Cricetulus griseus: one gene and its partners. The protein of the gene in region 1 purifies or fractionates together with the protein of each later gene. This does not show direct contact. Links are inferred from orthologs where the notes say so. Each region holds a gene or a part of one and is shown in the gene's direction. Other genes may lie near its edges.

What was found. The genes of interacting proteins can lie anywhere in the genome.
Region 2: the proteins of Kat2b (region 1) and Taf6l purify together in Homo sapiens (affinity purification with mass spectrometry; 5 studies listed by BioGRID and IntAct, counting the BioPlex papers as one, with this or other methods). This does not show direct contact. The link is inferred for Cricetulus griseus from reciprocal best matches to the Homo sapiens genes KAT2B and TAF6L.
Region 3: the proteins of Kat2b (region 1) and Gli1 purify together in Homo sapiens (affinity purification with western blotting; 3 studies listed by BioGRID). This does not show direct contact. The link is inferred for Cricetulus griseus from reciprocal best matches to the Homo sapiens genes KAT2B and GLI1.

Annotation. Positions count from the first base shown.
Region 1 is NW_023276806.1:249,617,852-249,621,373, reverse strand, and holds part of Kat2b (histone acetyltransferase KAT2B), read left to right. Parts: exon of another isoform or gene 1-211; intron 212-1,567; coding exon 1,568-1,682; intron 1,683-3,390; coding exon 3,391-3,427; intron 3,428-3,522. UniProt on the Homo sapiens protein: Functions as a histone acetyltransferase (HAT) to promote transcriptional activation. Has significant histone acetyltransferase activity with core histones (H3 and H4), and also with nucleosome core particles.
Region 2 is NC_048596.1:51,319,385-51,321,721, forward strand, and holds the end of Taf6l (TAF6-like RNA polymerase II p300/CBP-associated factor-associated factor 65 kDa subunit 6L), read left to right. Parts: intron 1-804; coding exon 805-933; intron 934-1,031; coding exon 1,032-1,793; 3' UTR 1,794-1,834; downstream 1,835-2,337. Other genes in the region: Tmem179b (transmembrane protein 179B), read left to right, coding at 1,892-1,987. UniProt on the Homo sapiens protein: Functions as a component of the PCAF complex. The PCAF complex is capable of efficiently acetylating histones in a nucleosomal context. The PCAF complex could be considered as the human version of the yeast SAGA complex.
Region 3 is NW_023276806.1:130,393,500-130,397,021, forward strand, and holds part of Gli1 (zinc finger protein GLI1), read left to right. Parts: exon of another isoform or gene 1-111; intron 112-199; exon of another isoform or gene 200-205; 5' UTR 206-231; coding exon 232-331; intron 332-434; coding exon of another isoform or gene 435-500; intron 501-556; coding exon 557-649; intron 650-1,542; coding exon 1,543-1,738; intron 1,739-1,963; coding exon 1,964-2,108; intron 2,109-2,459; coding exon 2,460-2,552; intron 2,553-2,640; coding exon 2,641-2,772; intron 2,773-3,093; coding exon 3,094-3,243; intron 3,244-3,522. UniProt on the Homo sapiens protein: Acts as a transcriptional activator. Binds to the DNA consensus sequence 5'-GACCACCCA-3'. Regulates the transcription of specific genes during normal development.

The DNA of each region.
Region 1 (3,522 bases):
TAACTCTTGTGCAGACAGATTCCTGTGTGTCTGCACCGGCCGAATGGTGTCCATGCCATCCTTTCACAGCCTTCCTCCATATCTGCTGCCTCTTATGTTCTTTCTGCCCCTCCCTTCTTCCAGGCTTCTCTGAGCCTTTGGGGAAGGATGAGTTGATAAAAATGTTCCATCTGTGTCTTTCCCCTCACAGCCGTATGCTCAGTGTTCCAAACTAGATTTTTAAAAGAGAGCTGCATCATACCAAAATAAAATTCTTTTCTTGTAGAAACAGACTATGTAAAAGGTGTTCTTAATTGGTCTAGATAATAAAAGGCCAGAGTCAGATATAGAGGGAAATGCTGAGAGATCAGAGAGAAGGAGCAAGCCACAGCACACCTTACCTCCTAAGCGTCTCAGCAGAGAAGAGAGCTATTTCCTGTTTGTCTCCTCTTATATCCTGGTTCTGCCCAGCTACATCATTTCCTGTCTGTCAGTACAGACCTCCAGACCTCTATGGTTAGCTAGTGGCAAGCTCCATTATCTGACCTTCAGACAGGCTTTATTTGTGCAAGAAAGATATTACCACAAGGCTAAGTATCTCTTATCCAAAATGCTCCTGACCCAAGCATTTTCGAATCTATTTCGTTCTTCTCCACTATTTCCATTGACTTATAACAGCATCTTTAATGAGAGAATCCACAATTTGAAATACTCTAAAATGCCAGACTCTACTTGTGGAAAGCTCCTTGAATAATAAAAGCAATGAATGAGCTGTGTGAATTGAGAACTTTTCTAGTCTCTGAATGTGTACTTGATCAAAATCAGCTGAAGGCAGAGAGAAATGCCTACTGCTCCACAGGTGAGCTGGCTTCACTGAATAACTGTATGAATTGGGGTGGCATAACCAAAGGTAAGGTCACTTCCAATATATAAGATGATGGACACAAGAACAGTAAGACCGTGTGTCCTGTGAGGAAGAAGGGCACGACTTGAGCAAGAGAAAGGGTGAGGGAGCTGTAAAGTTGTCTGCGTATGTATGTAGGTTGGTATGGAGGGTGATTTTTCTATTTCAGCTCACATATGAGACTACAAGAGGCTGGACCTGGAGGGCCCCTGCTAGCCTCTTTAGTCAGCCCCTCTCTTTCCTTCTCTTTGATGGTCCTTTACTTAGTGGCAAAGGTTTGTGTGAATGTCACTAGTTGAGTGTGTTATAAAAGAATATTTCTTTTTAAAATATATATTTAAAATTTTTGTATTATTTTATGTATAACACACACACTCCATGACATGTGTTCTGGCCAGATAAGAACTTGCTGGGGTTGACTCTCTCCTTCTACCATGTGGAATGCCAGGGATTGAACTCAGGTCATTAGGCTTGGTGACAGGTGCCTTTACCCACTGAGCCATGTCACAGGTCCTGAAATGCTTCTGCCTCTTACCTGGTAATTTGTCTTCAGCCTTCTCTCCTTTTTTGTCTCAAGAACATGTGTACAGCATCAGGAGCATCATCTCCTTAGTTTTATCTGACTGCCCTGGATTATGGTGTGGGGTGTGTTTGACTGAACACATTTTCCCTCATGCTTTTCAGATCATTAAAAAGCTGATAGAAAGAAAACAAGCCCAGATTCGAAAAGTCTACCCTGGACTATCATGTTTCAAAGATGGAGTTCGGCAGATTCCTATAGAAAGCATTCCTGGAATCAGTATGTATAGACACTTTTAAAAAGCAAACTCTTCTGTAGATCTGTAAGATAAGTTTGAAGTGATTACCAGAGTACAGTCATTTGAAAAGCTTTCACCTGCCCTCTTTCCATGTGTGGTGCTTCTGGTCTTTGAAATAGGCAGCAAACTAGTTGTGGGATGCTTTCCTGTAATCCCAGCATTGAGAGACTAAGGCAGGATGTAGAATTTGAGGTTAGAGGCTAAAGTGAGACACTACATGGGGATGGGTAGGGCAGTAATAAAGACTTTCTAATGTGTTTTCTTCCTAACTAAACCCAGAGTACCTTTAAAAGAGTTATTACTAATATACATAATTAAGGCCTTGTACTTGTACACGATAGTTGGGATAGTTGGCAACAGCAGTATCTATTAAATAGCATGGAAACTTTGGATCTTTGTTTTTACAAATTGAGGAACTCATCTTCAAATGGTTGTATAAGTTAGCATGCAAAAGTTCAGAACAAGAAGCAACCCATTCTGCTCTCCAAATGGCCTGCTGTGGACAACCCGCCTTGATGCCACTGTCACCTGCATGAACCCATTGCCTCTTCTTTTCTCCTCTCCATGCATGATGGAAGTCACATCAGTCGTTTGAAGTTTTTATTTTACAGTACCTTTCTTAGGAATTCTTTTTAACATGCTAAAAATAAACTGTACTGGGTTAAACCATACAAAATAATTGGGGTTTGTAGATTGAAAACTATTAATATCATTTGGTAATCTTATTTGGTTTGAACCTAAGTTCTTATAATTACTACTCACCCCACCCCAGAACCCAATGACAAAACTAAAGTTCTTCAGGAAAGAGACAGGATGCTCTTTCATTGCATCTGCCCTATTCCAGTTCTCTGGATGCTGAACCTGGGTTTCACACTTCCCTGTGTTGTCACTGTTAATAGCAGAGTAGTTGCCCCAATGTTGAATGCCTAATGGTGCCAGGCATTCTTCTGTTTTTATTTGTTCCCAATTCATTACTTTTCCATCTTTTGTCAAATGTTTAGCTATTTGGACTAAAAAAAAAAAAAAAAGAACTCATGTCACAAGGGCCAATACCACCTAGTTTCTGTAGTTTTGTTTTGTAGGTAGGTAAACTGAGATAGAGCCAAAGTAACTTTTTAAAGGAGAACAGAAGAATCAACTCCAGATCCCTCAGACACCAGGTCCCTGTAAACCATCTACATCACAATCAGGGACTTGGCCAAACCACACAGCACAGAGCCCTGCGCTGAGCTAAAATAACAGCAGCACTTTGTTGTGTGCTAATTGAAGATTTCTGACTTGCAGTTTAAACATAGATAGTACTGGTTTCTTCTCCTTTTCTTCTATCTTTTGAAGAGCTGGAATTCCTGCCTTAGCAAACACTAACCAGCTGAGATCATAGCTCAGGGATAGAGCACTTGTCTCAGTAGTGATGTGAGATGTTGGCTTTAATTCCTAGCACTACAAAAGAAATTAATAAATCAATTAAGAGAACAAGATATACTAATATAGCTGCCAGTCTGGGAAAGCATTTTATGTTGTAAGCTGTATGAAAAAGAAAACAAATGCTATTAATTTCAGTGTGTTTCCCCAAATAAGACATTTATTGAGACATGGCTGTCATGTATGGTGCTTTTAATAAGTAGTAAGTATGTTATTCTCTTGACCCAGAGCAGTTCTCATTTAGTGTTTAATTTTGTTGACATATAGGAGAGACAGGCTGGAAACCAAGTGGAAAAGAGAAAAGGTAAGCAAGCCGGGCTAGAGGATGTTAATGGAAGTGATTTTCCCCCTTCCAGCACTTTCTAGGAAAAGGGCCAAGTGATGTAATTGGTACATAGC
Region 2 (2,337 bases), on another chromosome or scaffold:
TTTCATAGTTATTTAAAATGTAATCCCCGTTTCTTTTTTGTCAGTAACATTTTTCCTAGGAATTTGACAGGTGGTTAGCATTTTCAAAAGTTCATGCTCCGTGGGTGAGTGATCCAAGTCTACCTTACATGTCAAAGACCATCTCAAATATAATAGCTTTGGCAGGGTTTTGTTTAGTCCACCTGATAACTACTCAATTTAAAACTGTACAGTCAAAGCCATGTGTGGTAGTACACTGCCTATAATCCCAGAGTCTGGGCTCCCAGCAAGCTCATTTCAATAAGGTGTCTTGATTGTTTTTGTGCAGCTCCTGTTTCTCTAGTAAGAACAGCACTTTCCCGCCAATTGTGTTCACTAGCAGTCTACAAACAATTTCTGTCATAATGATTTAATTATGTCATATTAGCCCACTGTAAAAGGCTAATATAATTTTTTTTTCGAGACAGGGTTTCTCAGTGTAGCTTTGGAGCCTATCCTGGCACTTGCTTTTTAGACCAGGCTGGCCTCGAACTCATAGAGATCCGCCTGCCTCTGCCTCCCGAGTGCTGGGATTAAAGGCGTGCTCCACCAACGCCCGGCCAGTAATGGATTTTTTTATATTGCCTGTATTTGTATGTCTTTATCCTTCATGCCTACCAAAAGATTGTACATATAGTAGATCCCAGAGAATCGATGGATATCTATCTCAATGAGAGAACTGAGGACTGAGCCCGACAACATTCCAAGTGGGTCTTTTGTGGGAAAGGTTACTCAAGAGGGCATATAGAACGAGGTTGCTTACTGTATTCCTTTTTTCCCTTGTAGGCAGTAGAACGAGTCCTGTACCCACATCTGCCCACATACTGGACAAACCTGCAGGCGGTGCTGGATGACTATTCCGTATCTAATGCCCAAGTCAAAGCAGATGGGCACAAAGTCTATGGAGCGATTCTGGTGAGTAGCGAGGCCCAGCTTCCCTTTCTTACAGTAGCTCAGCAGGTTTACTTTGAGATGCCTGCTGGTCCAGGTTTCTTCTAGCTCTTTGTTTACAGGTGGCCGTAGAGCGACTACTGAAGATGAAAGCCCAGGCAGCAGAGCCCAGCCGCGGTGGCTCTGGCGGGAGACTGTGCCATCGTGCGGAGGACTTGCCTTGGGACAGCCTTCTCCTCCAAGAGTCTCCTCCGGGGGGCGGCGCCGAACCAGGCTTTGGGTCTGGTCTCCCGCTGCCGCCAGGAGGCGCGGGGCCAGAGGACCCTTCTTCCTTGACCCTGGCAGACATCTACCGTGAGTTGTACGCCTTCTTCGGTGACAGCTTGGCCACTCGCTTCGGCACTGGCCAGCCCACGCCCACGGCCCCGCGACCACCCGGAGACAAGAAGGAGCCAGTGGCCGCCCCGGACTCGGTGCGGAAAATGCCGCAGCTGACCGCTAGCGCCGTGGTCAGCCCGCAGGGGGACGAGAGCCCGCTCGGCGGAGGCCCGGCGGCCGCCTCCACCGCTTCGGAGAGCAGGCCGCTGCCGCGCGTGCACCGGGCGCGGGGCGCTCCCCGTCAGCAGGGGCCCGGCGCGGGCACGCGAGACGTCTTCCAGAAGAGCCGCTTTGCGCCCCGCGGCGCCCCGCACTTCCGATTTATCATCGCTGGGCGTCAGGCCGGGCGGCGCTGTCGCGGGCGCCTCTTCCAGACTGCTTTCCCCGCGCCCTACGGGCCCAGCCCGGCCTCCCGCTACGTGCAGAAATTGCCCATGATCGGCCGCACCGGCCGCCCGGCCCGACGCTGGCCGCTCTCGGACTACTCGCTGTACCTGCCGCTGTGAGGCTGCCGCCCCTCCAAGAATAAATCCGCACCAGGAAGTGACGTGTCTGTGCTCGTGGGCGGGGCTTGGGCGGTTGGCTTCCTGGTGTCCTGTGCGCCATGGCGCTCACCTGGTTGCAGCGAGTTGAGCTCGCGCTCTTCGCTGCCGCCTTCCTGTGCGGTGCTGTGGCGGCCGCGGCAGTGACCAGGACCCAGGTGCGGCTGCGGGGCGGGCCAGCCTTGGGGCCGAGCAGGCTGGCTCTGGGGACTGGCCGCGGTAGCTTCACCGAGCTAGGGACTGAGAAGTCCCAAACTTGTTTGCTTGCCAGAGGAGCTGGACACGCAGAGCCTATTCGAGTCCAAGATAAACCGGTTAATAAGTTTACTTGGGTGCTGGGACACACAGGCCCAGTCTTTGCATTCACCCAATGCACAAATAGAAACATTTGTGCAAAAAAAAGTAGTATAGTGGAGTGATCAAGGTACCGCAAGATTGTAGTCCGGTGTGTGAAGTGAGGGAACGTATACACTTAGGTACACCAGGTTTATTATTGTTGGACAGTCTT
Region 3 (3,522 bases), about 120 Mb from region 1:
CAAGACGGACAGGCTGCTTCTGCCTGCCCTTGGGGCTGTTTCTTCCTATTTTAACGCCGCTGAATGATATTATTTTCAACTTGATTTCCATGACCAGTCTCTGAGAGAGAGGTTCGGGGCACGAGGGACATGCTGGCCTGAGATTGCCATATATCTAGTTTCTCACCATGGTTATAACTTTGCAAATCTGCATTCCTTTCTGCAGTGCCCCTCATCCGCCTCTGAGACACCATGTTCAACTCAATGACTCCACCACAAGCCAATAGCTATGGTGAGCCGTGCTGCCTCCGACCCCTCCCCAGCCAAGGGGTCCCCAGCCTGGGGACAGAAGGTGAGTGTGTTTACCAGTCCCTGGGCCTTGAGGGCTTGGCGGATCTCTCACCTAGGATCCCTCTCAGCCTCATTCCTCCCCCACAATAGTTTCCTATCTACAGGAGGATTTGAGACCCCATGCCATGCATGCTTGGAGCTGGGGGTCATATCTCACGTGGGGTCTCAAGGTAAGCCCTGTGTGTCCCCATCCAAATGCCCCATTCCAGCTGTCTCTCTTTTCTAGGATTTTCTGGTTTGCCCTTTTGCCACCAAGCCAACTTTATATCAGGGTCCCAGGGTTATGGGTCTGCCAGAGAGACCAACGGCTGTTCTGAGGGTGAGGACTCAGGCGATCTCTGTCCCCTCTCTGCCCCTCTGGGACTTGTTCGGAAGGAGGAAGTGGGAAGGCAAGGACGAAGATCAATGGAAGAAGTGTCCAGAGATGACAGGGATCAGAGAGCCATCAAGAAGTCCTAGGTTGAGCAAGGCAAAAAAAATAAATAAATAAAAATTAAAAAATTAATTAATAATAAAATAAATAATTCTTTATTAATAATAAAATAAAAATTAAAAAATTAATTAATAATAAAATAAAAAAATTCTTGGTGGCACACGCCTTTAATCCCAGCACTCGGGAGGCAGAGGCAGGCGGATCTCTGTGAGTTCAAGGCCAGTCAGAGTGCCAGCATAGGCTCCAAAGCTACACAGGGAAACCCTGTCTCGAAAAACCAATAAATAAATAAATAAATAAATAAATAAATTTTTGAGTCAGGCCCCACATACTGAGTGCATGTACCTTTACTGCATCTTTCTTTTCTTTCTGAAAATTTTTAAAATTTATTATGTATATAGTGTTTTGCCTGCGTGTCTGCCTGCACACCAAAAGAGGGCACCAGATCTCATTACAGACAGTTGTGAGCCACCACGTGGTTGCTGGGAATTGAACTCAGGACCTCTGGAAGAGCAGCCAGTGTTCTTAACCTCTGAGCCATCTCTCCAGGCCCCTAAATTTTATTTTTTTAAATAATGTATGTGTTTGTGTCTGTGTGGGTTTGCACATGTGATTGCAAAGGTGCGGGGCATCCTTGGAGCTGGAGTTATAGGTGGTTGTGCTGGTGTGGGTGCTGGGAACCAAACTCAAGTCCTTTGGAAGAGCAGCTAGTGCTCTTAACCACTGAGCTGCCTCTCCAGCCCCCTTTGCTGTTTCTTGACTCCTATCTCCTGCCCTAGGGCCACTCTTTCCTCCTCCCCGGAGTTCAGTCAAATTGACAAAGAAGCGGGCACTGTCCATCTCACCTCTGTCCGATGCCAGCCTGGATCTACAGACTGTCATCCGTACCTCACCCAGCTCTCTTGTGGCTTTCATCAACTCACGCTGCACATCTCCAGGAGGCTCCTATGGCCATCTCTCCATTGGCACCATGAGGTGCTGGCACCTCAAACTAAGAGACCCCTAAAATATGTACTGAAACCCATTAGAAGACTCGGACCCTTCAAACCTCCAGCCCAACTTGAACCCCTAACCCTCCCAAAGGGGAACCCTTTTCAGAATCTCCCTGGGCTTACTCAACCAAGCCTTCCAGAAACCCACAAAATAGAGCAAGGATTCCGATGACTGATAGTCTTAAATAACAGCCTCCTCTTCATCTAGCCCATCTCTAGGATTCCCACCCCAGATGAGTCACCAAAAAGGGACTTCGCCTTCCTATGGAGTCCAGCCCTGTGTTCCACAAGACTCTACTCGGGGTGCAATGATGCTGCATCCTCAGTCCCGGAGACCACGTCAGACCTGCCAGGTGGGACTCTCCACATTGCCATCTTACTTGGCTTCCCCGACTCAGGATAGGTGGGTAGTAGACTTAGCAGCAGCGGGGCAGGTGAAGGAAGCCAGTACACATAAAAGCCTTTGGTACTGGGAAGGTAGAGGTATAGATGGCAGCCCCACCCCTTCCCTCAGCAGGGTTGACTCAGACTTTCTCAGATGAGAGCACACCTGTCCATCCCATTCGCCAGTGCGGGCTGTGGAGGAAGTCCTTCCACACTCACAGGAGTCCTGCTATTGGGTGGGGGCCCATAGGGCAGAAAAACCTGGCACGCTTTCCCTTCTGACTACTCCATCCTCACTACCCTCACCTCTTTCCCTGGAGAAGCTGAAGTCAGAGCTGGACATGCTGGTAGGCAAATGCCCAGAGGAGCCGTTGGAAGGGGACATGTCTAGCCCCAACTCCACAGGCACACAGGTAAGGGAAAGGGCAGGGTGCTCTCTGTGGGACCTGAGCAAAACAAAACTTGCCACCCATGACCCTAAGAGTGTGTCCTTTGCCCTAGGATCCCCTGCTTGGGATGCTTGATGGGCGGGAGGACCTGGAGGAGAAACCTGAGCCTGAATCTGTGTATGAGACTGACTGCCGCTGGGATGGCTGCAGCCAGGAGTTTGACTCCCAGGAGCAGCTGGTGCATGTGAGCCCCAGGGGATGACAGATGGTTGGTGGGAGCCTGTAGGAGACTGAGTGGGTCATTATGGTCTGCTCAAGGGCAGAGCAGGTGGTTCAAGGATCCTGGGGTCAGAGATGGCATGCTCAATCCTGCAACCCAAAGCTTGGAGTAGCTTTTCTATAGAAGGCTAAAAGACCCCAAGTGTGGGATATGCTGCCTTCCTGACCTTTAACTCCCCCAGGAGGCAGTGCTGAGGAGGATGAATGGGGGGCTGAACGAAAGGGATATGTCCCGGGTTTGGGTGGCATCGGGAACCCCAGAAAGCCTCGTCTTCTCCCTCCTCAGCATATCAACAGTGAACATATCCATGGGGAGCGGAAGGAGTTCGTGTGCCATTGGGGGGGCTGCTCCAGGGAGCTGAGACCCTTCAAAGCCCAGTACATGCTGGTGGTGCACATGCGTAGACACACGGGCGAGAAGCCGCACAAGTGCACGGTGAGGCACCCATCCCTCCCCATATTGGTGCCAAATCAAGGTAGGGTCCAAGGTAGACATTTGCCTTCAAAGTCCCTTCCTTCATAAGCAGATGTTTAAACATCTTGCTGAAGACTGTATTGATAGAAAGATGAGCACATTGATATCTATTAAAATGTTTTCAGTTACATTTTATGGGGTGGTGGAGTCTTGCATTCCAGGGTGTCTGTGTGGAGGTCAGAGGGCAATTTGCAGGACTTGGTTCTCTTCTTCCACCATGTGGGTCCTGGGGAATCAAAC